Stegostoma tigrinum: one gene and its partners. The protein of the gene in region 1 interacts with the protein of each later gene in a biochemical or structural test. Links are inferred from orthologs where the notes say so. Each region holds a gene or a part of one and is shown in the gene's direction. Other genes may lie near its edges. The genes, in order: erbb2, nck2b, SH2B adapter protein 2-like and erbin.

The links.
Region 2: the proteins of erbb2 (region 1) and nck2b form a complex in vitro, tested with the Homo sapiens proteins (2 studies listed by BioGRID and IntAct, with this or other methods). The link is inferred for Stegostoma tigrinum from reciprocal best matches to the Homo sapiens genes ERBB2 and NCK2.
Region 3: the proteins of erbb2 (region 1) and SH2B adapter protein 2-like form a complex in vitro, tested with the Homo sapiens proteins (2 studies listed by BioGRID and IntAct, with this or other methods). The link is inferred for Stegostoma tigrinum from reciprocal best matches to the Homo sapiens genes ERBB2 and SH2B2.
Region 4: the proteins of erbb2 (region 1) and erbin form a complex in vitro, tested with the Homo sapiens proteins (4 studies listed by BioGRID and IntAct, with this or other methods). The link is inferred for Stegostoma tigrinum from reciprocal best matches to the Homo sapiens genes ERBB2 and ERBIN.

The regions. Positions count from the first base shown.
Region 1 is NC_081384.1:1,011,896-1,019,383, forward strand, and holds the start of erbb2 (receptor tyrosine-protein kinase erbB-2), read left to right. Parts: upstream 1-4,259; 5' UTR 4,260-4,340; coding exon 4,341-4,470; intron 4,471-7,488. Other genes in the region: pgap3 (post-GPI attachment to proteins factor 3), read right to left, coding at 2,906-3,058, 3,335-3,432, 3,718-3,907. UniProt on the Homo sapiens protein: Protein tyrosine kinase that is part of several cell surface receptor complexes, but that apparently needs a coreceptor for ligand binding. Essential component of a neuregulin-receptor complex, although neuregulins do not interact with it alone.
Region 2 is NC_081359.1:64,799,166-64,807,191, forward strand, and holds the start of nck2b (cytoplasmic protein NCK2b), read left to right. Parts: upstream 1-5,000; 5' UTR 5,001-5,116; intron 5,117-8,026. UniProt on the Homo sapiens protein: Adapter protein which associates with tyrosine-phosphorylated growth factor receptors or their cellular substrates. Maintains low levels of EIF2S1 phosphorylation by promoting its dephosphorylation by PP1.
Region 3 is NC_081380.1:2,456,027-2,463,898, forward strand, and holds the start of SH2B adapter protein 2-like, read left to right. Parts: upstream 1-4,846; 5' UTR 4,847-4,962; intron 4,963-5,045; exon of another isoform or gene 5,046-5,156; intron 5,157-7,872. UniProt on the Homo sapiens protein: Adapter protein for several members of the tyrosine kinase receptor family. Involved in multiple signaling pathways. May be involved in coupling from immunoreceptor to Ras signaling. Acts as a negative regulator of cytokine signaling in collaboration with CBL.
Region 4 is NC_081356.1:111,630,247-111,637,452, reverse strand, and holds the start of erbin (erbin), read left to right. Parts: upstream 1-4,082; 5' UTR 4,083-4,736; intron 4,737-7,206. UniProt on the Homo sapiens protein: Acts as an adapter for the receptor ERBB2, in epithelia. By binding the unphosphorylated 'Tyr-1248' of receptor ERBB2, it may contribute to stabilize this unphosphorylated state.

The DNA.
Region 1 (7,488 bases):
ATTGTACCACTTAAGCCTTAGCTCCTCAGGGTAGGGTAATAGAGCAAACCATCTTCAGCTGTTTCACCAATGACCTTCCTTCTGTAAGAAGTAGGGGCATTTGCTGACAATTGCAAAATGCTCAGCAGTATTCTTGACTCCTCGGCTACTGAAGCAGTCCATGTTCCAACACAAAGACACTGAACATATACAGGCTTGGGCTGGTAAGTGGAAACTAGGATGTGTCACAGTGCCATGGGGCATCTCTAACAAGAAGTAATCTAACCATTTCCCCTTCATATTCAGTGCTATTCTTAGATTACAAGAAGGATAGGCAGATTGGTCAGACCTGTGGCAGTTGGAATTTAACCCTGATAAATGAGAGGTGATGGTAACAAGACAAGGGAACACTCAATGAATGGCAGGATGCTAGGAAGGTCAGGGGACGAGATGGATATTGGGTGCTTTGACCACAGATCTTTGAAGATGGCAGGATAGGTTATTAGGGTAGTTAAGGCCCAAGTACAGCATATTTGCCTTTATCAGGTCTGGCATAGCTTACAAGAGAAGGGAAGCTATGGTGCAGCTGTACAGAACATTGATTAGGCCACAGCTGGAGTACCGAATGCAATTCTGGACACCACACAATAGGATGGATGTGACTGCACTGGAGCAGGTGCAGAGATGATTCATTAGGATGTTGCCCCGGACGGTGCATTTCAGCAATAAACAGAGGCTGGATAAGCACAGCACCTTTTCTTTGCAGCAAAGAAGGCTGAGAGGAAGAAACCTGATGGAGGTATAGAAGATTATGGAGGGCATATACAGGGTAGAAAGAAACCAGCTTTTCCCTTTGGTTGAAGGGTCAATAACAAGGGGCCATAATTTTAAGGTGAGAGGCACAAGGTTTATAGAGATTTGAGGAAAATCTTGTTCAACTAGAGGTCAGTGGGAATCTGAAACACTATTTGGGAGGGTTGTTTAGGGTGGAAAACTCAACTTTTAAAAAGTAGTTGGATGAACATGAAACGTAACAATCAAGGCTACGTACCAAGTGCTGGGTAGTGGGTCTAGTGAGAATTGGGTATTTTTGTCAATGCAGACTTAGTGGGCCACAGGCATCTTCTGTATGATTGTAACAGTATGTTAGAGGCTAGAAACTTGTCAGGAGTACCTCATCTCCTCATTCCCCAAAGCCTGTCCACCATCTACAAGGCATTAGACAGGAGTGTGGTGGAATACTCTCCACTTGGATAAGTGCAATGCCAAAACTCACTCAAGAAACTTGACACCATTCAGGACAAAACAGCAGCTCAATCGACATGTACATGCATCTACTTCCAGACTGGCACTCAGTAGCAGCAGTGTGTACCATCTACAAGATGCACTATTGAAATTTATCAAATTTCCTTAGACAGTGCCTTACAAGCTCACTTATCTAGGAGGCCAAGACGAGCAGATTACTGGAAAAACCACCGCATGCAAGCTCCCCTCCAAACCACCATCTTGGCTAGGATATGCAGTACTGTTACTGAAACTATACCCACAATGCCATTAGGGAGGGAGTTCCAACACTTACTGTACATCCTAGCCAAGGTGTTGCGTGGCTTGGAGGGGAACTTTCACATGGTGGTATTTTCATTAATTTGCTCCTCTTGTCCTCCTAGATAAGAGTTGTGGGCTTGTAAGGCATGGTCTGAGGAGATTTGATTATTTCTCTTGTGCATCTTGTCGATGGTTCAAGGAAGCAGCTCACCACAATCATCTTCAGGGCAAGAAGTGATGGCAACCATCATTCCATGAAATATTTATTTGTAAAGCTGACCTTCTGCCATCTACTGATCCATCCCTCATCTATAGCTCAGCTCAGTTCACTTCAGCTAGCTCAGCTTTCACACCCACATGGTTACTCTTAGTTATGTTTAAAATATAGTCTTATACTAACTTTTACCTTTCCAACAGGACACAAAATTTAATCATATTGTCATCATTGCTACCTCTAGGTTTACTGTGAGGTCATTAATTAATGCTGCCACATTATATAGCCCCAAATCTAGTAGAACCTGTTCTCTGATAAGGCCAATACCTTACACAGTATTCTAGATGTGGTCTCATCAACACCACGCATAACTGGAGCGAAACAGTTCTACTTTTATATCCTATTCACTTTGTAGTAAGCACCAACATTCCACTTGCCTTCCTAATGGCTTGCCATGCGTGCATAGTTCTTTTGCTTCAACAACCAGGACACAAGACAGCTTTGAACATTTGAGTTCTGCAATCTCTCCTATTAGATAATCTGCTGTTTCTTTGCTCTTTCTGGACAAATTCACATATTCACACATTATGGCTACTGCACGATATTCAACATTTCTATCAAATCTGCTGTAAGGAGAACTGTGCCAGCATCTCCTAATTAACTAAATACCTCACCCCTGGGAAAACAATCTGGTAAATCCCCTCTGCAAAAGTCCTTGACATCATTCCCAAAGTGCGGTGCCCAGAATGGGACAACATTTCAGCAGGGGTCAAACCTATCACTGACAAAAATTTAGTATAATCTCTTGGCACTTCAATTCAAGATTGTAACTGGGAGAAATCTAAAAGGCACTAATTACACCTTCATAAAGTCACTCGGACTTAAAGCAGCACCGTACAAGCTGGAGGTGACTCAACACCGATCTCTCCGTGAAAACACCCTCAATTATGGGCAAAAATTTAAAACTGCAAACAAGCCCCAGCTCCCAACTTCTCTGGAAAGCTATGCATGTGGTCACAGGAGGAGGCAAGATAAACTCAGGGTGATTTGCTTTCCTGGACCTCTAACAGGCTGTATCAGTCTGCTTCCTGTTCTACAGTATCTCTTCACTGCACTGTCGAGAGACACCAACTCTTTTACAACAGCAGAGTTTAGTATTGTCATTACCATGGCGAAGGAGATGCATGTATGGTACATCGGAGATTCGAGAGGCACTGCAGCCCGGTACCTGCCCAACATCATGTAGTTGGCCAGTCCATTCAGCATAGAGGCAAAGGCTGAGGCAGGTTCTTGGAAGAACAGAAATCGGTAGAAGGGCCACTGCAAAAAGAAAGAGAAGCACTAGTTCAGTCAAGAAACAATCCAGCATCCTTAGCCAGGGCAGTGGTGGTGGTGGGGCTCAACAAATGGTCTTGAGAAACATCAAATTACAGGCAATATTTTTGTGAAGGGGCTCAGGGTCACACCAAAGTGGTCATTGTAGGGTTCACAATAAGGGTTCGTGGTCTTACTGGTTCCCAGGAATATCAGATATTGAATGCTCCAACCAAAGTCAGTATCAATTAATAATTTAAATTACTGCAGCACCCACATCACCTTGCCATAAAATTGAGGCACTTTGTGTCCTTCCTGAACGTACAGTCCCACTGTCAGCCACATACAGTTGTATTGACAGTCATCAGCACAACTCCAACCTGCCAGTAGAAAGAGACATGGTCAACATTCAAGCTACTTTTAACAAGCAACTCAACCACAAATTAACTAACTTCAGGGCCACTGCAATAGGGAAAAGACAACTGTTGAATCAACGGGCATTGCCTCAGTCTGAGTAAAGAAACAAAGGAAAATAATTCTTGATCAAATGCCCACTCATTTTGATGCAATGAAAGCAAAACGGACAGAAACCCCGACGAGAGTCGGGGTTCGGGGTCCGGGGGTGGGGGGTGGGTGGCGCGTACCCTGGGGGATGTGGCCCTTACCTGCTGCCATCATGTAGAGGGGCTGCAGTTTGTGGAAAATCCGCAGCCGGGCTCCAGTACAGTTGTGTCGCCCACACATCTGGACGCAGTGGCGGTAGTAGGGCTCCCGGTCCCCCTGGGAGCAAGAGGCGGCAGGCAGACAGACAGCGGCAAGGCCCAAGCAGTACAAGGCCAAGGCATTAGCCCACATCGTCAAGGCGGGCGGGAATCCCAGAGACGGACACGTACAACAATCCAACAGGATTACTGCGTTACACCTTCATCGGCCCCCGGCACACTAACAGCGGGTAAACGTACCGCCGGGCCCTCTCCGCAGCCAGACACGGCGCCATTAACCTCACCTTTCTCTGGCCCCGCCCACACAAAGGCCAAGCTCCTCCTCGCCTCACCAACACGGCGAGCCCCGCCCCACAGCTGTGCCCCACCCACACGGCGAGCCCCACCCCTCATCCCGGCCCCACGCACACGGCAAGCCCCGCCCCTCATCCCTGCTCCACGCACACGACAAGCCACGCCCTCATTGCTGGCCCCACGGTCTCACACAGCCCCACCATTTTCCTTCCCTCCCCCACCCCCGTAGAACAATCCAAAAGCCCCGCCCGCTATTTGTCCCCACCGCAACCATGTGCCCCGCCCACCGCCGGAGCCCGCCCCACTCCGCTCCGGCCGGAAGTGGAGCTCGCGCGGCCGGCGGGACGATGCGGCTCGCGGGGCTTCTGCTCCTCGCAGCGCTCGGTGCGGCCCAGAGGCCAGGTAAGGCCTGCGGTGAGATAAGGCTGGGACGGTGTTCCGGCGGTTGGGGGAGAGTAGGAAGCTAGTGTGGGGACGGTGATCCAGCCGTGGCCTCAGATTGCGTGTCGCTGCGGGCAGGGGTGTTGCGGCAGAGAGGTATAGTCACTGCTCAATACCGACAGCGATCAGGAGCCCGGACGATCCCAATCAGGCCAAGTGTGAACGGAAAGGTGACACCTCCGACAGTGCCCGCTCCCTCAGCACTGACCCTCCGACAGTGCCCGCTCCCTCAGCACTGACCCTCCGACAGTGCCCGCTCCCTCAGCACTGACCCTCCGACAGTGCCCGCTCCCTCAGCACTGACCCTCCGACAGTGCCCGCTCCCTCAGCACTGACCCTCCGACAGTGCCCGCTCCCTCAGCACTGACCCTCCGACAGTGCCCGCTCCCTCAGCACTGACCCTCCGACAGTGCCCGCTCCCTCAGCACTGACCCTCCGACTGTGCCCGCTCCCTCAGCACTGACCCTCCGACTGTGCCCGCTCCCTCAGCACTGACCCTCCGACAGTGCCCCCTCCCTCAGCACTGACCCTCCGACAGTGCCCCCTCCCTCAGCACTGACCCTCCGACAGTGCCCCCTCCCTCAGCACTGACCCTCCGACAGTGCCCCCTCCCTCAGCACTGACCCTCCGACAGGGCCCGCTCCCTCAGCACTGACCCTCCGACAGTGCCCGCTCCCTCAGCACTGACCCTCCGACAGTGCCCGCTCCCTCAGCACTGACCCTCCGACAGTGCCCGCTCCCTCAGCACTGACCCTCCGACAGTGCCCGCTCCCTCAGCACTGACCCTCCGACTGTGCCCGCTCCCTCAGCACTGACCCTCCGACAGCGCCCACTCCCTCAGCACTGACCCTCCGACAGCGCCCGCTCCCTCAGCCCAGACCCTCCGACAGCGCCCGCTCCCTCAGCCCAGACCCTCCGACAGCGCTCGCTCCCTCAGCCCAGACCCTCCGACAGTGCGGCGCTCCCTCAGCACTGACCCTCCGACAGTGCCCGCTCCCTCAGCACTGACCCTCCGACAGTGCCCGCTCCCTCAGCACTGACCCTCCGACAGTGCGGCGCTCCCTCAGCACTGACCCTCCGACAGTGCCCGCTCCCTCAGCACTGACCCTCCGACAGTGCCCGCTCCCTCAGCACTGACCCTCCGACAGTGCCCGCTCCCTCAGCACTGACCCTCCGACAGTGCCCGCTCCCTCAGCACTGACCCTCCGACAGTGCCCGCTCCCTCAGCACTGACCCTCCGACAGTGCGGCGCTCCCCAAGCACTGACCCTCCGACAGTGCCCGCTCCCTCAGCCCAGACCCTCCGACAGTGCCCGCTCCCTCAGCACTGACCCTCCGACAGTTCCCGCTCCCTCAGCACTGACCCTCCGACAGTGCGGCGCTCCCCAAGCACTGACCCTTCGACAGTTCCCGCTCCCTCAGCCCAGACCCTCCGACAGTGCGGCGCTCCCCAAGCACTGACCCTCCGACAGTGCCCGCTCCCTCAGCCCAGACCCTCTGACAGTGCCCGCTCCCTCAGCCCAGACCCTCTGACAGTGCCCGCTCCCTCAGCACTGACCCTCCGACAGTTCCCGCTCCCTCAGCACTGACCCTCCGACAGTGCGGCGCTCCCCAAGCACTGACCCTTCGACAGTTCCCCTCCCTCAGCCCAGACCCTCCGACAGTGCCCGCTCCCTCAGCACTGACCCTCCGACAGTACCCTCCCTCAGCACTGACCCTCCGACAGTTCCTGCTCCCTCAGCACTGACCCTCTGACAGTGCCCGCTCCCTCAGCACTGACCCTCTGGCAGTGCCTGCTCCCTCAGTACTGACCCTCTGACAGTGCCCGCTCCCTCAGCACTGACCCTCCGACAGTACCCTCCCTCAGCCCAGACCCTCTGACAGTGCCCGCTCCCTCAGCCCAGACCCTCTGACAGTGCCCGCTCCCTCAGCACTGACCCTCCGGCAGTGCCTGCTCCCTCAGCACTGACCCTCCGACAGTGCGGCGCTCCCTCAGCGCTGACCCTCCGACAGTGCGGCGCTCCCTCAGCGCTGACCCTCCGACAGTGCGGCGCTCCCTCGGCACTCCCTTGGGGTCGTTGGTTATTATTTTTGAAAAGGTGAGTTATTTGGTGATATCGGAAATGCGAAGGAAATAATTCAGATTTGTAGGAGCCAGGTGCTCGACTGTTTTGGATCTGAATATGAGAATTTTAAAATGGTTGTGCAGCAGATCTGCGAGACAATGCAACATTAGTCACTGAAAGTGGAGGTGATTGGTGGATGTAACTCCGTGAAAATTAGTTTTGTGGGAACGGAATTTCAGATGATGTAGAGTGATTAGAGGGCAGAAGATGAGACCAATTGCAAGTCTGTTGGATATTTTTATACCCAGAACTAAAAAATGTGTTGTTGATGATTTTGGCTGTGGGTGTGGCCAATGTTACAAATGTGCAGATAGGTGGCCTTGGTAATGGAAAGGAGATAGGATCAGAAGCCCAGCTCTGAGACAATTGGCACATTATTTGTAAAATTTCATTTGTCAAAATTCTAGGATCAGGTTTCTTATTAGAGTTTGATTCTAGTCATCAAGTCGTGTTCCAGAGGGTTGTGGAATTTCTGTGGTTGAATATATTTAAGGCTGAACATATTTTTGGTCTCTCAGAGCAGAGAAATATTGAGTGATTGAGAAAGTAGAGTTGAAACCCAAGATAAGGGTTATGTTAAATATCACAGCAAGTTCAATTGGTAAGTATCTGTACAATATAGAGAGGGTGCTGTGCTGTCGGAGTTGCTAACTTTTGGTTGAGAAATAAACTGATGTTGACCTTTCAGGTAAAGTTAAAAGATCAGTTTGACTACCATTTTGGAAAAGAACAGGGATCCTCAATGTCATGGCTGATATTTATTCCTCAGCTTTTCTCAAATGGACTAACGAACATTTATCATGCATGTGGGATCTTACTCTGCAAATTACCAACCGGGTTTCCTGTATCACAGC
Region 2 (8,026 bases), on another chromosome or scaffold:
TAGTTACATTTACTTCAATGAAGGCAATCATCCCAAAACTTAATGAGATTTTTGGTTTGTTTTAGTGGTCCTCAAATGGTGAGAAGTGACAATGGATCTCCATTTCACAGCAATGAGTTTGATAAATTTGTAAATTATGTGGACTTCACTCATCAAAAACCCTTGTTTCCAAGAGCTAATGGAGAGGTCAAGAAAATTCTGTGTACCTTTAAGAAAGTGACTTGATGAGAACAAGTTTTGGAAGCAGGAGACCTATCATTTTATTTGCAATTACTCGGCAAGCACAGCTCCTCAATTGACTATTTTGAAGTTAGCATTTTCAAATGTAAACAAAAAGTAATTTCAGTGGCTTGCCTGGCAATATAAATCACTTTACTATGTCACCAAAAATCTGACAGAACAAGAACCTTCCAAACTAATGGCTGAAATAGGTATAAAACAAATTACTTTAACCAAAAAAAATGTTCCCAAGGGAGAAATCCAATGTCTAATTATAGAATCCCTATACTATAGAAGCAAGCTATTTGGCTCATCAAGGCTACACTGATCCCTGAAGAGCATCCCACCCAGACCTGTCTGCCCACCCCATTCCCGTAACCATGCATTTACCATGGCTAACTCATGTAGGCTGCATATGCCTGGATACTATGGAGAATTTAGCATGGCCAATCCACCCAACCTGCATATTTTTGGACCATAGCAGGAAACTGGAGCACCTGGAGGAAACCCACGCTTACATAGGGAGAATGTTTCCTGACGATGGGATTGAACCTGGGTCCCTGGTACTGGGGGGCAGCTATATTAAACACTGAGCCACTGTGCTGCCTATATGGAAGAGTAATTTGACAATTTGGGATGGCAGTCTTTTTGACATATTGAACTGTGTACAAGTGAGCACCCATTGCATTGAGATCTCAACAGAATCTTCTGAAGACAAAAATGGAGACATAGGGTGGTATCCAGGATTGTTATACTAAATCAGATTGTCAAGAGTCTGAATCTGCAGGACAACAAAAGTGAAACAAAGCAGTCTGTGCTCACTGCCAGGATCTGTTCTATTCCGTTCTTCACAGATGCTGAAACTGACTCCAAGTTTTCAACCTGTTTAGAGAACACCTTGCAAGCCATGCCTGCAGCGATAAGAGAAACAAACCTTATTTTCATATTCAGACATAATTTTTACCCTTACTAACCTTGAGTCTTTGCATCAGTGTATTAGCCAATAACTTTTTTTTATCACATTTTAACAAAATAACTTTCGTTGAACAAATCACCTTTTATCTTGTTTAAACCATGCTGCTGGTTATTTTTCAATTGAGAAATCCAGAAACCGAGCACTCTGAAGACTGGCCTGCCATATGTGAATACAATCAAGAACCAAAGGATTAAATATAAATAAGTACAGCGTGATCCATACAATTCAGACCATGTAAACCAGGAGATAAAGTGCTGGTGAAATGTGATGGCCAATTTAGAAAGCACAAAGCTCTTTATGACATGCAGACATTTTCTTGTGGCCAATATAAAAAGATCAATGATCACTGATAAGCCTGTTTTGCAAATCATCCCATGAAATGTGTCATATTTCAAAGTACTGAAAACACTATTTGCAAATGTTGATTCTGACTTAGGTATTGACAACTCAGATAAAAAAGCATGAGTTAGGCCATAAGACATAGGAGTGGAAGTAAGGCCATTCAGCCCATCAAGTCCACTCCGCCATTTAAATCATGGCTGATGGGCATTTCAATTCCACTTCCCTGCACTCTCCCCGTAGCCGTTGATTCCTTGTGAGATCAAGAATTTGTCGATCTCTGCCTTGAATGCATCTAACGTCTCAGCCTCCACTGCACTCTGTGGCAATGAATTCCACAAGCCCACCACTCTCTGGCTGAAGAAATGTTGTCTCATTTCAGTTTTAATTTTACCCCCTCTAATTTTAAGGCTGTGCCCACGGGTCTTAATCTTCCCGCCTAATGGAAACAACTTCCCAGCGTCCACCCCTTCTAAGCCATACATTATCTTCTAAGTTTCTATTAGATCTCCCATCAACCTTCTAAACTCTAATGAGTACAATCCCAGGATCCTTAGCCATTCGTCATACGTTAAACCTACCATTCCAGGGATCATCTGCGTGAATCTCCGCTGGACACGCTCCAGGGCCAGTATGTCCTTCCTGAGGTGTGGGGCCAAAAATTGGACACAGTATTCTAAATGGAGCCTAACTAGAGCTTTATAAAGTTTCAGAAGCACATCGCTGCTTTTATATTCCAACCCTCTTGAGATAAACAACAACATTACATTCGCTTCCTTAATCACGGACTCTACCTGCAAGTTAACTTTTAGAGAATCCTGGACTAGCACTTCCAGATCCCTTTGTACTTCTTCTAAACGAAACCACATCTAACTTTAGACGATATTCTAATTTTGATAAAAAGACGTAATTAAGTGGTAAGTTACAAAGTGATCAGAGATAATGGGAACTGCAGATGCTGGAGAATCCGAGATAACAAAGTGTGAAGCTGGATGAACACAGCAGGCCAAGCAGCATCACAGGAGCACAAAAGCTGACATTTCGGGCCTAGACCCTTCATCAGAGAGGGGGATGGGGAGAGGGTTCTGAAATATATAGGGAGAGAGGGGGAGGCCGACGGAAGATGGATAGAGGAGAAGATAGGTGGAGAGGAGAGTATAGGTGGGGAGGTAGGGAGGGGATAGGTCAGTCCGGGGAGGCCGGACAGGTCAAGGAGGCGGGATGAGGTTACTAGGTAGGAAATGGGGGTGCGGCTTGAGGTGGGAGGAGGGGATAGGTGAGAGGAAGAACAGGTTAGGGAGGCGGGGACAAGCTGGGCTGGTTTAGGGATGCAGTGGGGGGATGGGACGAGCTGGGCTGGTTTTGGGATGCAGTGGGGGAAGGGGAGATTTTGAAGCTTGTGAAGTCCACATTGATACCATTGGGCCGCAGGGTTCCCAAGCGGAATATGAGTTGCTGTTCCTGCAACCTTCGGATGGCATCATTATGGCACTGCAGGAGGCCCATGATGGACATGTCGTCCAAGGAACGGGAGGGGGAGTTAAAATGGTTCGCGACTGGGAGGTGCAGTTGTTTATTGCGAACCGAGCGGAGGTATTCTGCAAAGCAGTCCCCAAGCCTCCGCTTGGTTTCCCCAATGTACAGGAAGCCACAACGGGAACTATTTTAAGTTGGTGAACAAATCTTTAATCTCATTGCATATGACTAGCAGCATTGCTACATTAACAGAAAAGTTAAAACATGTCATAGATGTTACTCCGAGTTGAAAGTTCACATTGTGCTCAGGTTATTGTTTGATGTCCTGTAAACAAACCATTCAAAACATAAAACAATTCTCATTTACCAAGAGACGCAGGGTTGTAGTGTATTAAAAATTACATTATGCATTTTGTCCACTCAAGGTAACAGCTCATGTCCCAAAAAAACTGAATCTAGAAGAATAAGGAAATCCTGCACATACAACAGTTCTGCTTCTCATTGAACATTATTATTTCTTTCCATGAACTTTACGTGTTATGTTATTACATTGATAATAAAAAATTAGCAAGCAAATTGTTATGGGCATGTATATCCAGAATGCCACATCATTCGTTACTGTACTACAGTCAGGTATTAAGCAACAATTGAACACCTTGCAGCACAAAATACATTTTAAAAAAAGCTCCAGCGTGCTGTGTGTAAAAGTGTGATTATTTCAAACTTTTGTTGATTACATTGTGTATCATGGCAATGAAAATGATCTTGCTTGACAATGAATTGAAGATAGCAATGTTCATAGCAGAGTAATACAATTGAATATTGGGGTGTGTTAAAAACTCAATATAGAAGCAAATTATTCAGGCGTTCTGCCTTTTAGATTGAGTAAAAAAATTAAAACTGAAATTTCTGAAATTTCTTAGGCAAATACATTAAGAATTATGAAAAATTGCAGGTCGAAGGAGTCAAGATGAAACTTGGCCATGAGCAAACTGCATGGTGGAACAGACTTATGGTGGCAAATTGGTCCAATCCTGCTTCTATGTTCCCAGTACCAAAACAGGCAACTCACTTAACCACTGAACAATTGGCAAAAGGTCTGAACTTCTACATTAAATTGTTCACAAATTTCATTGGCACCAGAGCCAGTTCTACTATATCTAATATTCACATGAGTGGAGCTTTCCTACATTCTGAGTGTTAACAGCCAGGTTTCAGAATTTTTAAAAATGTTAAACCAATTGCTCTGCAGAACTTTAGGTGAAAGTCTAACTTTATTCAAATGAGACTTCTTTGAATCTCCTACAATATAAGGGAAACACAAACACCAAGTCCAATTCAGAATTACAAAATTATTACCATTCAGGAGGCCACTCAACCCATCGTGGCTGTTCCAGCTCTCTGACCATTTTGGATTACTGTCAAACTACTACATTTTCCTCTTTACCGTGCACTTTATATATAGTTAGATAATCATACTCTGGACCACGGCAGTTGAATCTGCCTCCGCCACAGTTTCAGCTAGTGATTTCCAAGACTTTGGTGAAAAAGTTTTCTTCCTCACCTCGGATTTGCATCTTTCGAAACAATAATTTAACTTTTATTAGTATGGGATACAATCAGAAGAACTCTGCAAGTGTCATGTGTGAATTCTGTCGAAGAAAATTGGGTGAAGTTTTAAAGAGGGGTCAGCATTGATCAGCAAATGGCGTTCCCCACACACAGACATCAGGAATGTATTGCAAGCCCAAGAAAAGGGAATACTCGCCGGTTCCCGAACATCTCCTCCCTTTTAGCTAGCGCTGGGCAAACGGACGGCATCGCGCATGCGCACCCTGCCCAGCGATGGAACGGGGGAAAGACGGTTCTGCTTCTGCGCACTCGGCCACGTCTGGCGTATTCCATTTGCTGTGATCCGGGGAGGAGAGTGGATCGGGATCGGGATCGGGATCGAGAGAGGAGGCAGAAGAAGAAGAAGAAGAGGAGGGGGCAAAGGAGAGAATCGAGGCTGCTCGGAGTCGTTGGCAGGAAAAGGAGATAGTGGAAAAAAGGACGGACGATATATACAGTCGTTGGAGAAGAGGAGCAGAGCGGGAGAGGCCGGAGGTGAGTGCTGGTGCTTGCGGGCTGCCGGCTCTGCCGCTGCGGTGGCGGCCTCGGTGTCAGGGCCCTGCCCCCGGTACACGATGGCGCATGGCCCGGGGTGTAATTGGTGGGGGGCAGCGACGGGCAACAACTGTCACTGGGCGAACTTGGAGGCTCCTCGCTTCCCAGTAACCATTCAGGTGCGGAGCAGAGCAGAAAGCAGCATCCTCAGGAAAAAAAAGACAAAAGCAACACACCACCTCCAAAAAGTACAACTTCCTTCACATGGACCATTTCCTTCTCTTTTTTCCTTCTTGACGAAGCAGAGCTTTAACATTACTTGTTGGGCTGTGATTTCCAATTTTTTGATGCATTAAACACTACCCGCTTTGTATTCCGGATTGATGGTTTGATAGCAAACGAGTTATGTCCATTTTTGAACCTCTTGGACCACATGCATGCTTTATTTTTCCTCTCTTTTTAATTTTAATTTCGTCTCCGCAATCCTTTATTTCTTACTGGTGAGATACAGTTAGTTTCACAAGTGCCTCTGTGAACTTTCCTGAGTTTGTGTTTGGATTTTAATAGTTGGCAAGATGTCACGTTGGTCAGTTATTTCCAATGTAGTTCAACACAGTGTTGATCCAGCATCTACACTCCAGCAGTTGCATTTCTATATCTCCCAAAGTGTCTCACAGGAACATAATAGACACTAAGCCCAGAAATAGATTTTATGGAGAGAATTAAAGCAGTAAAAAGCCATTGAGAGTTCTGTGGAGGGAATTTGAAAGTAGTATTTAGACAGTTGAGGTCATTACTATTGATAGTGGAATGAAGTCAATGGGAAAGTGCTTTAAGAGCCTGAAATTCTTAGAACATTGTAGAATTAGAAGAAGTTACTGAGATTGGGGAGGTAAATGATTGTGGAGTGATCTGAACATAAGAATCAGAATTTAAAATTCTGAAGTGATAGGCATTTAGAATTTAATGCAAGTATGGATATGCTCAATAGCTCAAGTTTATGATAAGAGGTAGAAAGTAGGCAGTATATGAGAATGTTGGAATGAATGATCAATGTGGGTAGTAATGTCATGGATAAGTATTTCGAACTGTCAGCTGAGACAGGAGTTACAGAGGTATGTGTAAGATGGCCTTCATGATGAAGAGGTTAAGTATGGTACCTGAGATCCCAACACTAGTCCAGCTTCAGATACTTGCTGAGGAGGGCTACGTTCAGCTGGTAATGAGGGAAGGGAGCTTATAGAGAGGTCCAAAGTAATGCCTTTGGTCTTCTCAGTGTTTAAAGGAGGAATTTGCATTTCAAGAAGTCGAGAGCAATGATTCCTAATTTGCCTTTCCCAGTATAGCTTGCAATGGAATTCATAAAGACTGGATCTTCAGCCCGTGCAGTTATGGTCTGTATAGCTGTTTGCTTAAATTCAAGCTTCTGTGGCCATTCCCTTTTTGTATTCTCAGCCAGTGAAACAACAAAATTAGTGGCTTTGTGTGCTTAATCTCAAGAGATGCATGAGATTTTGTAGAAATCTGACAGTTAAATGCTTTGCATGTAGGTGGTTCCTCAAACTAGCAATGAGATTGTGGTACATGTAAGTGAAAGATTTTGCATTTCAGGATGTGAAAACTCTTGCAATCTAGGAGTGCCGATAGCTTAGAAGTTTCTTTTCACTCATGGTCTATGGATGCTCCATGAGTTTAAGTGACTTCAGTATTTAATTTATGCAAAAATCATAAGTATTGAAGCAAAGCAGTTTTGTGGAGAGGTTTGCAATTTTGATCTCTATTAAAAGCATTATCAGATGTTCAGTCAAATAATATTTAAAACTATCAAAACTGCATTTTGAGATTATGAATTTGGATGGCATGTCACTGTTTTCTAGCTTAATTCTGTTTCATGAAGCCATTTGAGTGTTAACGATAAGCATATGGTTAAAATAACAACAATTCATATTGTTAATTCATAGTTTTAAAACTGGGAGCACCTAGAATAAAATCTTAAATTCCCTAAAATTGCTTTCTTTATCTTAATCTAATAGGGATTGTAACATACTATTTGCTGACCTAAAGGCTTATAGGCACATCATGAAATTGCATTATATTTCAGCTTGCATTGTCCCAGATTTACTGTAATAATGACATTGAAACTAACAACTTCTGGAGTGTGTTTGTGCAGTTAAATACAGGAATCTCACAATTGCTGCCAGTGACGCTATGCTTTCCTGTAGAACACATGTGACCCCAGATTGTAACAAGTAAAAATCACTGAATTAACAAAACTCATTTTCTTATGCTGCTAATTTCACTGTAAAATAGCCTTGAAAATTCTTTTTTGAATGAGGCATAACTGAGTTTTTAACAGTTTACTTAATAACTACTTCTGAGCATCTTATCCCTGGGGGAAAAAAAATGAATTCTGTATTGAGTGTCAAATTTCATCATTTTGCTTTTTTAAAAAATATATTGAATGTTTACAGTTGAGCTTCTATTTTAAACACACGTTTCTGGGCCAATCAATCATTTGACGTCTAAAATTTTATTTATAAGTGAAAGCATGTAATACATTTTACTGAGATAATGGGAACTGCAGATGCTGGAGAATTCCAAGATAATAAAATGTGAGGCTGGGTGAACACAGCAGGCCAAGCAGCATCTCAGGAGCACAAAAGCTGACGTTTCGGGCCTAGACCCTTCATCCATAGGATGAAGGGTCTAGGCCCGAAACGTCAGCTTTTGTGCTCCTGAGATGCTGCTTGGCCTGCTGTGTTCATCCAGCCTCACATTTTATTATCTTAGTACATTTTACTCACTAGTTTTGTGATCTGTGGGAATATTAGTGTGTTTGGTGGTTTACTCTGCTTGATGACATAATTGTTTTCGGACACCTACCAGTCCCCTTGGCTTGGCACCGGAATC
Region 3 (7,872 bases), on another chromosome or scaffold:
TGTCACTACCCTAAGTGTAAGGTAGAGAGTAGAGAAGGTAGTGAAGGAGCATTTAAATGTTCATTGTGTGATCTTGGTTTCAGCATGAAGATAGGATTAGGACAACATGAGAGACACAGGCATGCAGAAATGAGAAATCAGAAGAGAATTAATAGTGTAAAGCAAAATAGTGGAAATAAGGCTGGAGGTAAGAGAAAAGGTATATAGACAGAAGAAGAAGTTCAGCTGTTATTGCAACTCGAAGCTAGACATTGTGGGGAAAAGCAGATTAATAAGAAAATAGCTGAAGGTTTAGTATCTAAAACAGCAAAACAGATTGCGGAAAAGAGAAGAGGTCTTAAAAACGTAATAAATAAAAGAGTAAAGGAGACTATGTCTAGGAGTAGTGATGGTGTAGAGTTGGAAGAGTTGACAAGTGAGAGTAATGAATTAGACGAATTGGGTCAAGAACCGGTGAAATTGAATAAGGAAGAATCTCTTGAAGTCCAAAGTTAATACACTGGATGAAATGTTAGATCAATTAGAAAATTATATAAGAAAAGGTAATCATTATGAGGTGAATAGGTGGATTGAAATGTGTACTGAGAGATTATTGGCCAAGGATCGAAAGGAGAATACCAGGGAAGGGGAAAGGAATAAAAATAAAATTAGTAAGGAAGGGAATATTCAAAGGAAATAGGGCCCAAAGGAGATATGCTATAAAGAAAGCTAAATTCCGTGCAAGTCAATTGTTATATAAAACAAAAAGAAAGCAACTTGCTAGGGAATTGATGGGAGCCCCCCCCACCGGATGTATTAATCAATTCACGGTAGAATATTTGACCGGTGTGTTTGAAGAAAAATTGGCTGGCTTTAATGATAAAGCAAATATCGCAAGGTTTAGACCTTACAATAGAAATAAGGATTATGAGAATGAAGAAGTTGAAACGGCCATTCGTGAATCCGACCCAAAAACTGCAGCAGGGGTCGACAATTGGGGGTTGAAAGACATTAAGGATATACACTTAACGAATGTCACTTGGCTCCCACGTCTCTTCACTGCGTGGTTGAGGACCGGAGTAATTCCTAAGGTATTGAAACAAAGTAGAATAGTACTAATACCTAAATCAGATGACCTCGATAGTCTTAAAGATATAGATAATTGGCGTCCTATTACAATAGGCCCGATTTTACTGCGGATTTTTACTAGAATTATGGCGAAGAGATTGAGTACGGTAGTGCAATTAAATATTAGACAGAAAGGTTTCTTGGCAGGGTCATCAGGGTGTTGTGAAAATATGATGATTTGAAGGAATATCGTTAAAGGAGCCAAGAAACTGGGTAGAGATCTGGCCTTTGTGGATTTGGCCAAGGCTTTTGACTCAATAGGGCGTAAACTACTTGCTAAAGCATTACAAAGGGTATCGCTGCGAGAGATTTTATTCAGTTGATGGTGAATCTTTATACTAACAACACGGCAGTGGTGGAGGGTAATAAGTTTAGAATGCCCCCCCATAGCAATCAACTGCGGTGTGAAACAGGGGGATCCTTTATCTCCTATGTTATTTAATATTGCGATGGACCCTCTGATTAGTACGCTTGAGGAGCTGGGAACGGGAGTATCAATGGAGTGGCAGAGTGAGACTGTCCATTGTACCGCATTAGCCTTCGCGGACAACATTGCTCTGGTGAGCAACTCTCATAGGGGTATGGTAAATAACCTGAAGATTGTACAACGATTCTGTGATAACACTGGCCTAAAAATTAATATTTGAAAAACAAAAGGCTTCCATTTCCAACATAAGAATAAAACATTTTTATATAATCATATGAAGGAATGGACTCTAGGAATTGGAACTGTGCAATATGTCAACCCCGGAGAGTATGAGAAATATCTCGGAGCCATGATTGATCCGTGGATTGGTGTGCGGTTGAAAAACGGGGAAGGAATTCTGGAAGAATGGACAGCAAACCTGGGGAAAGCAACTCTCTGATCGTTACAGAAACTAGAGATTTTTCGTTTATATTTCATACCTCGGCTGTACCACCATTTGGTTCTGGCGGAAGCATCGCAGAATTTGTTAAGCAAGTTAGACTCTTTTATTCGTGATTTTATAAAGGATATTTTACATCTGCCATCACATATAGCAAATGGGATAATTTATGCCCGCAACAGAGATGGAGTCTTAGGGATTCAAAGGCTGGAGATACAGGTCCCAATTGCAATTTTAAAGAAAAGGGTGGCGTTGGAGATGACAGATGACATGGTTATTCCCGTGTCATTTCAGTTTTGTCATGAAAGGAATATTGATGATGTTAGAGAACTGATGAAACTGAAGACAATGCAGGAAGTATGGCCGGTCAGGTTGGAAGAGCTAGACTTGGAAAATGAGAAAGTAGGGACAGTGAAAAGTCTGAGCTCGAACTACCGGGACTGGAGGAAGGTCGAATTATATAGATGGGAGTCATTACAATGCCAAGGATTGGGAGTACAGTACTTCAAGAATGATGATATCTCTAATGGGTGGATAAGAATGGCCTCGAATATGAAAACATCAAAGGTGATAAATACCTTACTGTTGCGTGCTAATGTCTATCCCACACGTACAACATTAACTCACGGGCAACCTCTCTGCAATAAGAACTGCCGGAGATGTGATACTTCAATAGAAGCGCTCCCTCATATATCGGGATGGTGTCCGGCAGTTAAAAATATGAGAATTAAAAGGCATAATAAAATTGCAGAAAGACTATATAAATTCATGAGTAGATATGGATGGAGAACTTTTGTGGAACCCCGAATAAAGGAAGCAAGTGGTAAAGTGTGGAAACTAGACCTAATTTTCCAGAAAGATAGTAAGGTTGTGGTTGTGGATGTAACGATATGGTTTGAAAATAATGAGGATGCCCTGGAAAAAGCAAGGGAGGAGAAAATTTTAAAGTACAGGCACTTGGCGAATAATATTAAGGAGATGACAAAGGGCGAGATGCCTGAATTTTATTGTTTTATAATGGGTGCACGTGGCAAATGGACCTTGTGGAATACTAACCTTATGGAATGTCTTGGTATTAAGAAATTCCGGATGTTTGCCCAAAAGATATCCAGATTAACCATCTCATTGACTCTGGAACTTTTACAGGTTTTTAATGACATGTTAAAGATTATCTGGACTCCGAAAAGCTCTGATAAGCAGCTTGCAGATTTTAACTTTTTAGTTTTAAGTGTGTGATTTATTTTATTGCATGTTTTTAAGTTTTATTAGTTTTATTGAATTTTAGATTAATTTTAGTGTGGTTTTATAGAGTTGGTATGATTTTAATAAAGTATAGTATTTTAGTCACAGGTAATGGTGGTGGGTAATAGGGTGTTTAATACACTTTTTCTTCCAACACATCAGATGATGGAAACAAGTTAAACTTGCTAACCCCTGATGTGTCTCCCCACTCAAGATTCCCGGCCTGGAATTCTGCCACATGATAGGAAGAGTCGTTCCCTGCATAAGATCTATAGAGGAGAGCTAGATGGTAGAACTAATAAGACGCATCGACGGGCGACGTAAAAACTCGGAAAAGGCACTGACTGAGACAGTGTAATCAATAACCTGAGCCACTGGGTGCTTGTTCAGCCATGTGATGTTAACCAAGAGCATTAGCCTGGATTTTGATTTTCCAATTGGCAGCATTAATGTCATACTGACTGGCTTCCAGTACAATTTATGGTGCAAACTTCAAATTGATGCCCCTTTTCCTCAGACCAATGCTTTCAGTCTGGATCACAACACTCTATGAAAGCCCATTAAAGAGTCAGAGAAAAGCAATTGTAACATTGAAGAACCGGCCAATGAACTGGCAAGATTTGTGGTCTTGGGAGGGCAATTCTGGTCCAGAATTTTTTTATTCAACCTGTTCAGGAATGTTACGACTTACCTCAGGAGCAGGTGAGATGTGTACCCAGACCTCCCGGCTCAGAGGTAAGGACACTACCACGGTGCCACAAGAACCCATTCAATTCCGGTCCACATTCAGGCAGGTGACCTCACTTGACCTGGCATCTCCCCTCACTCCTATTATTGGTCGCCCTGAAGCTAACTAGAAAGGAAACATTCTCCACTGCCTGCTTGGATGAGTCTGACTGAGTTCTATCATTTTCAAAACAAAACTTGCCCAGCTCCCAATTGGTTTTATTAAATCGTTTAGGAAATATTCAAAAGAAAGGGAAAGGAGCTGTAAAAGTTGATAAATGGCAATCCTGGTGGAAGGGTAATCCGAATTTCCATGAATCCTCTCTCCTTCCCTGATTTCCTGGAACAGCCAGGAACAACTGGGCAGCAGGACCTCCTTGGCTGAGCCAGATACCTAATCACCAGGAATACAGGGGAATCTGGAAGCCTGCCTATTGAAACATCAGGGAATTCTACCCCCAGTATCAGGAATCTGACATGAATCTCACTTGGTAGTGACTCTTTACAAGCGGGTTAATGGATTGTATCGATTTACTAAAGGCTTGGACACTGAGGATGGCTTTCTACCATGACCAATACATCAATAGGTCGGTCTCGGCAGATGGGAATCATCAGACAACTGGCACCACACATGTTGCTTTGGTAACTCAGACACAGATTGGGAATCAGCTGGGGAGACGTTTACAATGACATCTGAGGTGAACACTACTCACTGGCCCTGAGCATTTGGCAAGCACTTTTTGTTTCAAATTAAACTTTTTTTTGTCAGTTGCCCCCGAATTCCTCAGCTGTGATATCATTAAGGAGGCAGCTGTTTCGTGCTAAGTGAGTGAGAAGAGAGAAACACCCGCCCCCAAAAGCCTGGACTGGCCAAGATTTACATCCCAGCAGTGCGCAGGACCGAACTGAAACTGACAGGGACATCGTACAGGAAATTAACCAGCCCCGGTCATCGCTGGGACAAAAACAGCTGGCAGAAGCGGGAGGACGGCAGTGCAAACATCTGGAACCTGCTCTGGGCGTGAGTAAACATAGAACAAATAGCGTCGTGACACCATTATTGTATCGTAAAGAGGCGAGATAGCGGAAAAGGCTATGATGTCTCAGTAGTCATAGTTACAATGTGGGAGAGCAGCCTGCCTCCATCTGTGATGCAGTTCCATCTTGACAGGGATGGACGGGAGGGGAAAAGCGTGGGATATTGTAACAATGTGGGTGAGTTACCTCTTTAAACTGTGTGCGGACTGAAGTTCTGAGGCTGGGATTCGCCCTTAACCGCTGGTCACACAGGGTTAACCCCAAATTTAATTACTTCCCCTTCTTTCCCCCACCCCGACGCCCCCGCGTAGACATTAAGAATCAGTAGAAGACAGGAACCGATCAACATTGAGGTTATTGTTCTCCTGAAACAAGATTAACTGCATTCAAAACGAAATATTCCAAACATGCAGGAAACATCTCAATGAATTTGTAGAATTAAGGATGGTTTTATAACGATAATTGTTGAAAAGGACCCAGGTGCTGACTACGGATCTATTTGAAGCTGTACTCTTGGTCAAATTCTTTGCTATTTCTGCCTGCTAATTTTCTGATTTGTTTTCCTGAACTCTTGAAACACACGAGGTGATAGTTTTTGGAGGGCGGCTGATCATGTTAATGGATAATTTTACATTCCCAACAAAGAACAATGACTTCACCATTTCCTTCAAACCTCTATTTGCACCAATGCACCTCCTCTCTAACTTTGTGTGGGGATGGGGAAGAGATGGGTGTGAGACAGTTTTATAAATCCTGATCTATTTGTATTGATAGGAATCTCCTCTTGTGCACTGGATGTTGAATATGTATGAAAAGATCTTTCAAATGCCCTTTCCTTGCCCCTTCCTTTTACCCACTCCGGATCTATTTCTTTGACGTGCACTCTCTCATGCCCCTCATCTGCGTTTACTGTAAAACTTTCCCTTTGTGTAACTTCTGTTTTTTTTTCTTTTAATCTCTCCATCTTTCTTCTACATCCTCCTGGATAGGCACACAAAATGTGGATGATAGAAAGAGCTGGAAGTTAAGCTATAATTATATAAAGATCTATTGTACTGCATTCAATTCCGATTTCTGTATATCAGGAGGGATATAATGGCCTTGGATAGGATGAGCCTGATTCAATAAAATGATTTGATGCTAAAAGGACAAGTTGAGGAAATTAACCTTATATTCCTTTTTGATGAATGAATATTAGACGGTGATCTATTTGTATGGATTTGAAACAATTTTTAAAGGATTTGGTTGAATAATTCAACAGAAACCATCCATGGAGTCCATAACAAGACCTTTACAGCTGGAGCTAGACATTTCATTTAGTAGAAATTTCTAATTTTTTTTTCCCCAAAAGCAGCTGAGGTCAGAACAATCTTCATTGATGTTGGTGGATTTTATTAGGACAGGGGATGAAGATGAGGAAGTTGGGTGGATGGAGAAAGCAGAGAGGAAGATCAGCCGTGGTCTATCTGAATGATGGGATATTTTTGAGGGGGTGAATTGATATCATCCTCTTCCTATATCCTTCTGCCGCTTTTTAAATCTGTGCCCTCGTTTGGTTTCTGTTGGCAATCTTAGTGTCAATGTTGACCCTAAAATGAGCTTCTGACCACTGAAGCCAAACATTTCCACCTCCTGAAAAGCCATTGCCAGATCAATTACAAGCTGGAGTAGGTTAATCATTCCTTCCATTCAATGTGGTCATGGCTGTTGTGGTTACAACACCACTTTCCTTTAGCCTGTCATCCTTGACAGTGTTATCTATTAAAAATTTGTCCAACTCAGCCTTAAAAATATTCAATGACTGATTTCTGAGGAGGAGAATTCCACAGACTCTAAATCCTCAGAGAGAGAATTTCTCTCCCCCTCTCCATCTCACATAGTGTGGAAATTAAACATTTTGGGATCCCCTCTTTTTTGGAGGGGAGGAAAGTAGTTAAAAAAAAGAAATATGTTGGATGCAGGCTGTACAATTGGAGCTCTTTGTTGTGACCTGTTTGAGCACGGTCACTTCTGGGCTTAACGTACTCACAATGTCCAAGTTTGGCCCTGTCTCAGCTTATCTGCTGCTGAAATCCACATCCATGCCTTTGTTATGTCTAAACCCAATTATTCCAATTCACCTCTGGCTGTTCTCTCCCATCCTACCCTCTGTAAAATAAGATCTATCAAACCAGTATCTTAATTCACATCAAATCCCTTTCAACTATTTCCCCTGTACTCACCAGCTTGTTGGATTTCGAAGATCTGTGTCGATTTTGATTCTCTTCCCCCAGGGATTGGTCTGTGTTGCTGCTAAACTTCTGATTCACTCACCATCTAAATGACTTTCTCTAGAATCTTTGTAGTGCCATTAATATGACAGACTCATTAGTAATACCTACAACAATTCAGTCTCCTCTTGAATTCTGATCTTAAATCCCCATGGTCGTGTCTCTCCACAAAACTGTAGAAATTGTTGAAAGAAATTGTTTGTTGACTTCTCAGGTGTGTATCCTTCTGACACATTTTGCTGTAAGATTTTAAAAGCTATGATGTGGAAGGAACTGCGAAAGGTTTTCGATATCTTTTCGAGTGTGCATCTTGCTGCTTTTCACTCTCGGCGAGCAATACATCTTCTGCTGTACTCCCAACTGGTATACAAGAGTGTATTCACTTCATTTGTTCAGTTTCTGCCTTTGTACTTGGTTTCGAATTTATTCTGAGAGTAAAGAATTTCTACTCCAGAATGTCCAATTTTGTTTTCTTTCTCTCCCCATCTCTGAAATTAAATTTTGATAATGCTATTCCTGATGCCATGGATTCCTGATATGATTAGGTATTGTATCATCTTGTTTAAAACAAAAATATTTATTTTGCAGTAGTGGCAGTTCTCCCTCGCTTTGGTGTTGTGCTG
Region 4 (7,206 bases), on another chromosome or scaffold:
AAACTCCCTTAAAACTCACCTCATGTCACATTGCCTGAAGTGAGATTTTGCAGTATTTTTCAGTCTGTTTTTGCTGACTTTGTACCAACTGAAACATCAATATATCACAGTAATTGGAGTACCCATGAGTTATAATAAAGTTTGATAACATCTGTTGGTTCATATGAATTTATAACTATCTTTACTATATAGCGAAAATCACATATATTCCCATTTTTAATGGACAACAAACAGATTCCATATTTGTGTGCTTCCTATATATAAATAATATCATTGACATTTCAGTTTAAGCCTGAGATGGATTCTTAATCAGGAGAGGAGTCAAGGGTTATGGAGAAAGGATAGGAAAATTGACATGAGGAGTGTTGGACGAGCCATGATCTTATTGAAAAGTGGAGCAAGCTCAAAGGGCTGACTAACCCACTCCTGTTACTATTTCTTATATGGTTACCAAATATGGCACTGGATCTCAACAAACAAATCATCTGGGGTTGGGGCAAAGTGCTCCCCTTGCCAAAGTTATACCAGGCTCACAGAAGGATAATTTTGATTATGCAAGATCAAGAACTCAGCTCTAGAAAATTGCTGCAGGAATTCCTCAGGCAAAGTACTCTCAACATAAACATCTTCAGCAATTCCATAAATGATTTTCCTCCTGTAATTAAATCAGGAGGAAGACAATTTGCTAATATTTCCACAGCAGGATCCCTGCAGTGCAGAAACAGGCCCTTCAAGCCCAACAAGTCCACACCGACCCTCAGAGCATCCGACTCAAACATACCCTGAACACTACAGGCAATTTATCATGGTCAATCCTCCTACACTGCACATCTTTGGACTGTGGGAGGGAACCGGAGCACCTGGAGGAAACCCACACAGATATGGGGAGAACGTGCAAACTCCACACAGACTGTTGCTTGCGGGTGGAATCAAACCCAATGCTTCGGGCTGCGAGGCAGCAGCACTAACCACTAAGCTGCTGTGCCACTGTTCATTCACAAACCTTCTACTTGTGAAGCAACCAGGCGAGTTTACTGCAGGATTTGGGCAATACAAAGGGCTTGGCCTGGCAAAAACAAATTAAAAGCCAGGTAACTATGTTTTTGCAGGAGAGAGCCCACCCATCTCCTTTTGATCTTCAATGCAGTAGTATCAAGGGTTATATGGAAAAGTCAGGAAGGTAGAGTTGAAGATTATCAGGTCAACCTGATAATCTGATTGAATAGTGCAACAGGCTCAAAGGGCTGAATGGTTGATTTCTGATCTGGTGTCTTATGATCTTATTTTTTCACTGTACATTTTTTCTTGGGAATCACCTTGAATCATCTCTTAACTGGCCATATACTAAACTAGGGCTTACAAGAACAAGGCAGAGGTCAAGAACTTTGCAAATCTCCTTTTGACACTTCAGAGCCACTCTACCATCTATCGGGCTGAAGTGATGATTGTGAAGAAGATGAACCAATTATCTGATTGGCTGCTACCATGAGACCATTCAAACAAGTCAACCCCACCTGATCTGCTTGGTCAGCAGCCTTGAAACTAGGCTCAGAATTCACCCTCTCAGTGACTAGCATGAGACTTTATTTGTGGGGCCTGCACTAATGTGCTTCTGTGCTTATTTATATAATCATGCTCAACATGTAAGATACATTGCAGTCATTCACTCAGCTTATTTCGACAGAACCTCCTGGCTCCAAAAACCTTTTCTGGGAAAAGTGCAGAATAATCAGAGCATTGCATCACTGCCAAGGTATAGTTCCAACTTATCCACACTACCCTGACTTGAATGCATCCTCCCAACTTTATTACCTGGTAAAAATCCTAAATGTCTAACACGGTTACGAGAACACCTTCCTCACAGGGATTGCAGTAGTTCAAGGAGAACGATGCGATCATATCGTTAGGGAAGGCAGGGATAGAGATAAAAGCTGCTTTGTCAGCATTGATCTCATTCTGTGAATAGATTACAGAACACAGCAGATTCTATCTGAAAATATTAAGTTACCCAAAGGCAATTTCTGAAATTACCGTCAGACTGTTTAAAAAAACATTCTTATCGTGCTGGTCTATATTCACAAAACTAATTTTAAAAATCAGTTTTATAGCTTTGAGACAAATAAACTGTTTAATAATGTAAATACAAATAGTTCTTTTTAAATTTTGATTTACAAAATGATGGAGTAAAACCCCTTAATGCTTTCATAGTACAGCTACATTGAAACGATAGACAGAAACTTGCTTGAACACGATGGCGCAGGTTCAAGGCAAGACGAGCGCAGTTCTTTTTGAAGATCTGAGATTATGCGTGCATAGAAGCTTATGCAGGATGCAGACAGGAAAGTATTCAGGAAGGAAGGGTTGCACCGATGTCTCGGTTGTGAAGACAGATTCTGATAACACGACATAGTACACGGAGGAAACTAAAGGAGCATGTTGGTCCAAAGCAACTGCCTCAGAGATTGCGCTGCACAGTCAGCTTCGAACGCTTAACGGGTTCCATTTCTGGGGGGAAAACAGAACCTAACATGCACTGCACTGTGATATATTTGTGAATCACAGCAGTTCAAACAAGCAGATGATACTGCATTTGAATCTTCCCATTTCCAGGCGACAGTATTTACTAACACAGCGTATTTGTTTCTCCCTTCATAAAGCAGACGAGAATCAATTCGACGCGGACTGCACAGTCTCATGATTTTCTTGTCTCAGTTTCACGTTATACCTATTCACATTTTACATGCGAGAAGTATATTAAACAAAAGCGGATTCCACGCGTTGGACAAGTCAACATCTGTGAAAGGAGAAATCAATTAAATATATACCGATTCAAGGGTTTCTGCGTGTCTGAATGTCTTTAAGATATATCCTACTTTGTCACAGAAAAAAATATAAATGGCCCGGTGATAAAAATCACAGATGTGGCACAAATCCGACATGATCAAAACTTGGTTGTTTCTTGGTCTTTGTTTACTGAATAGAATTTTAAAAAATTGATTTGAGCACGGTACAGCGAGTTCGGAGTTGAGAGTGTTAAATAAAATGAGTGAATTCATGTGGTGTCCGTGTTACAAACCGATGTTGTGGTGGCCGAGTCAGACAATGAATCTGATCCAAACAGAATGGCGTTCAATCCGTGCGACAAGTTCCACTCTGTGCCTGTGCCAAAAGAATGAGTTTTCAGTCAGTCACTATGTCCTTCTCAAAAGCGGTTTGCCTCATATATAAGACAACGGCATATCTTATTTGGATTCGTAAAGCAAACTGGAAAAAAAATTACATTATTCTCTTCAGAACTCACTGTATGAATGTAAATTGCTTTTTTTTGCGTGCCAGCCCGGTTTTGGAAATTATTAACCGGCAGGAGGGGAGATTGAGAAAGACACAATGGAAGTGACTTGGCACAATCTCGCGGCCTCAACTTCCCCCAAAGCATCAACTTTAGTGCAAATGAGGACGGCGGTGTGCTGGAAAATGATATTAATAAACCCACCTCCAGCCCCTCCCTATTCTCATCCTCAATCCCATCACCTCCCTCCCCCCACCTCCACCCTTCAAAAAAATCACCCAACCAGAGGAAAGGAAACTTTAAAGCAGAGACGTGGAAGAGACCGCCCCTGACCCAGGAGCAGGAGATGATTGGGACTGGGGATGCTGATTGACAGGGGAGTGTGGAGGCCGCAGCGTGTGGTTGCTTGAAATGTCAATCAGGGCGCCCAGGCGACATTGTAGCCGCTGGAGACAGCTGGCGCTGTTGCTTTATCTTGTCGGTGCATATCTGCCTGTGTTTCACTTCACATTCTCCCCTCCCTCCCTAAACTACACACACACACCCCTCCTTCTCGGTCAGTGTGCTGTGTCTGCTGAGGACGCAGTGGTTTCTACTGGCTGCTTTCTCTCTTCATTTGCCTGAGGCTCTGGGGAGTTGCGCGAAAACCTGGAGCGATGTGTTGGTGATCCTGTCTGCATCGTTAACAGAGCCAGACACGGAGGGGAGGGAAGGGGGGTGGGGGGTGAAGAAATTAATTTCGGATGGATTTGGGTGCGGCAATCTTACAGTAAGAAAGGAGCCGGAGTTGGGGGGGGGGGGGGGGCAAGTTATTTAATAAAATAAAGCTGCAGCAGGAGGAAGAACCACATCAGCTCCTTCCTGAAGGTGAAACTCGGCGATAGGGGACTTTTTTTGACTCCCTTGTTGCATTTTTTTTCTTCTTGACTTATCGAGTCTTGGGAAATGCTGTCGATTGCCCGCCGTTTCCTGCTTTGAAAGGACTTGGTACATTTTCCCCCTCTCCTCCCACTGTCGTCTTTTACTCCATTTTAATTACTTTATTTTGCGTGCGAACCTCTAAATTCAGCGACGGATCTGAAAGTTACTTTCGAGACGACAAACCGCGAGAGACTTGGTTGCATCATTGGAGAGGAGGGGGGAAGAAAGAGAGGGGGGGGGAAAGACTTGCAAAAGTTCAGCGCGCAGAAGATTTAATTGGTCTAACTACCATCGACAGAGATCGGAGAGCTTGTGTTGAGAGCTCGCGAGTTTTTCCTTTTTTGTTTTAATATTCACCCCCCCTTAAAAAAAAGGAGAAATTGTGTTTGGTCCTGCCTCGGCTCTGAATACCACATAAAGCCCAGCTCTCCCCCCCCCCACCCCCGGATCGAACCTTTGGATTGTTTTGAAGTTTAAATCGGAAGCCGATGAAGAAGCGGGCCGTCTGGATCAGTGGCGAGTGAAGGTAAAATGGCTTGTGCTTGGAATTTGTTTTCGGCTTGGTTTCTGCTCGCCTTCGGAGGGAAGGCCTACACACTCTTTTCTAACACCAACCTTCCTCCCCCCCCAAAAAAAAAGGTAGTGCTAGGATAGCAGTCATGACCTACACATCCAAACCCGGTGTAAAACATAGCAATCCAAACGAGAGATAAGTATTGTTTATTTGGTGAGAAGAGAAGGAAGTTTTGCATTCGAGGTGTTTAAACCTTGACCAGTTGACGCTGTTCAAGGTCTAAACGTATCAGACAGAGATCCCTTTGTTTAACTTCAGGGCTTGAGCCGAAACAGCTTATTGCATCAACACTGGCATGTTCACAGTAACGGTGTTAGAAGATAAATATTGTATTTACTTGCTCGGATAAGTGGCTTGATATTAGGAAGAAGCAACTGGCATATCTTTTGGATGACAGGAAGCAAATGTTAACCCATATTCCAACCCTCCCTTTCTGATGGAACCTTGACCTCGTTTTTCAATTTCTGCTGGCGGTCCGAAAAAAATCTAGTGTTGAAAATACGCGGAGTCGATCTTTATATCCGTCTTTATATCCATCTTTTTGATGCACAGGTACATGCAAACACGCATGTGTTGGTTTCACAGCTACCCAAATGGTTTGAGATCAAAATTAAGTCGCTGTCTGTAGCTTTGAGTTAACAGAAGAGTGTAAGTATGTTTGAAGGTTTTGAGTTGCAGTTCCTTAGAGTTGAACTGAATCTTGGTGCTCTGTGGTTTGTTACTCACTGGAGTGTGAAGCTGTCATCAAAACTTTCAAAACAATAATGTTTGCTGCTTATGCACAAGTCCCAGAAATATACTTTGTAGAAGTGCTATAATACAACCGAAGGCATGTGCATAAACAAGTTGCCGTAGTTAGCCTTTCATAATAAGGTACATATGTAGGGACGGAGGAGTGAAGTGGCAGTGTTGGTTTGTGGTGGTGCTGTGTTACAGTTCTCATAGACTAATGAATTGCTCTGGCAATGTGTACCTTTTACTGTATGTTGTGATCTGGATCAATGGTTAATGATGTTGGAGGTTCCACTGTTCTTTGTCACATGGCCGGCCAGGAATGTCCCCCGCCCTTGCCATCTGTCACTGGCATGTGTTTGAAGGATTTGCAGGTTGATATTTGATTATTCCATTTGGGAACCCTGTAGCCTTCTGGATTTAATATCAAATTCAACAATTTTACAACTTGAGCACCTTTCCTCATTTTTCCACCACCAAAATGTACCAGGCCTTGTCATAACATAGGCTGCGACCAGACATTATCTATTCTTAACTACTAATAGTTCCCGTTAGCAGCTGTTTATTCTCCTAGCCTGGTATTTATCCACGTCTTTGTTTATCCTTCTCTTTGGGGTCTATCTCCACGTAATGTTTACTCCCATACCCCCCTACGACCTTCTGTATAAAACAAATCCTTTTCCTAGCTACCATCAATTCTGAAGGCTCACCACACCTAAATATTAACTGATTTCTCTCCACAAATACTGCCACATCTGAGATTTTCCAGCAATTTTTGTTTTTGTTTAATGTCCAATCTGTTTGGCAACATTACAGATGCACTTTGTTTGGCTATCAAGCCTTGGAACGGGAATTGAATCCAGAGCTTTTGGGCTTAGACACAGGAACACTAACCACTATGCCAGAAGAGGAAAAGTTGCAGGATAAGCTCAGCAGGTCTGGCAGCATCTTTCGAGGAGAAAACAGAGTTAATGTTTCGGGTCCGGTGACCATTCCTCAGAACGGGACCCAAAACATTAACTCTGTTTTCTCCTCCACAGATGCAGCTAGACCTGCTGAGTTTTTCCAGCAACTTTGTTTTTGTTCCTGATTTACAGCATCCACAGTTCTTTTGGGTTTTACTATGCCAGAAGACCTGGTGGTGTCTTTTTTTATTTGTTCACAGGATGTGAGCATTACTGCCTGGGCCCAAATGGCAATCAAGAGTCAACTGCATTACAGTAGGTCTGGAATCACCTTTTATCCAGACCAAGTAAGGACAGCAGGTTTCCTTCCTTGAGCAACATGAGTGAACCAGTCTCATTTTTATGACATTGATAGTCATAACCCGGTGGCCGTTGTGCAGGTTTTACTCCAGGATTTTTAAAAATTGAAATCAAAATTCATCATCTGCTTTATGGAAATTGACCCCATGTTACCGGAGCGTTGGCCTGGGGTCTTGGATTGCTACTCCAGTGACATGACCACCACATATCCATCCCCCAAAAAAAGAGAATGGCAGCTATTCATTAATGTCTCCACAGTGATAAGTCATTGTAGATCCACTGGAAACAGACATGTGCTTGTTCAATGCAAAAAGTTGTAAATGAAGCCCATCACTGTACTGTACTAGAGTATATGTATGTTTGGAAAAAAATGCGGGACTATGGAATAAAGTAAGACAGGGAGACTAATTGGAAATATTTTCTAA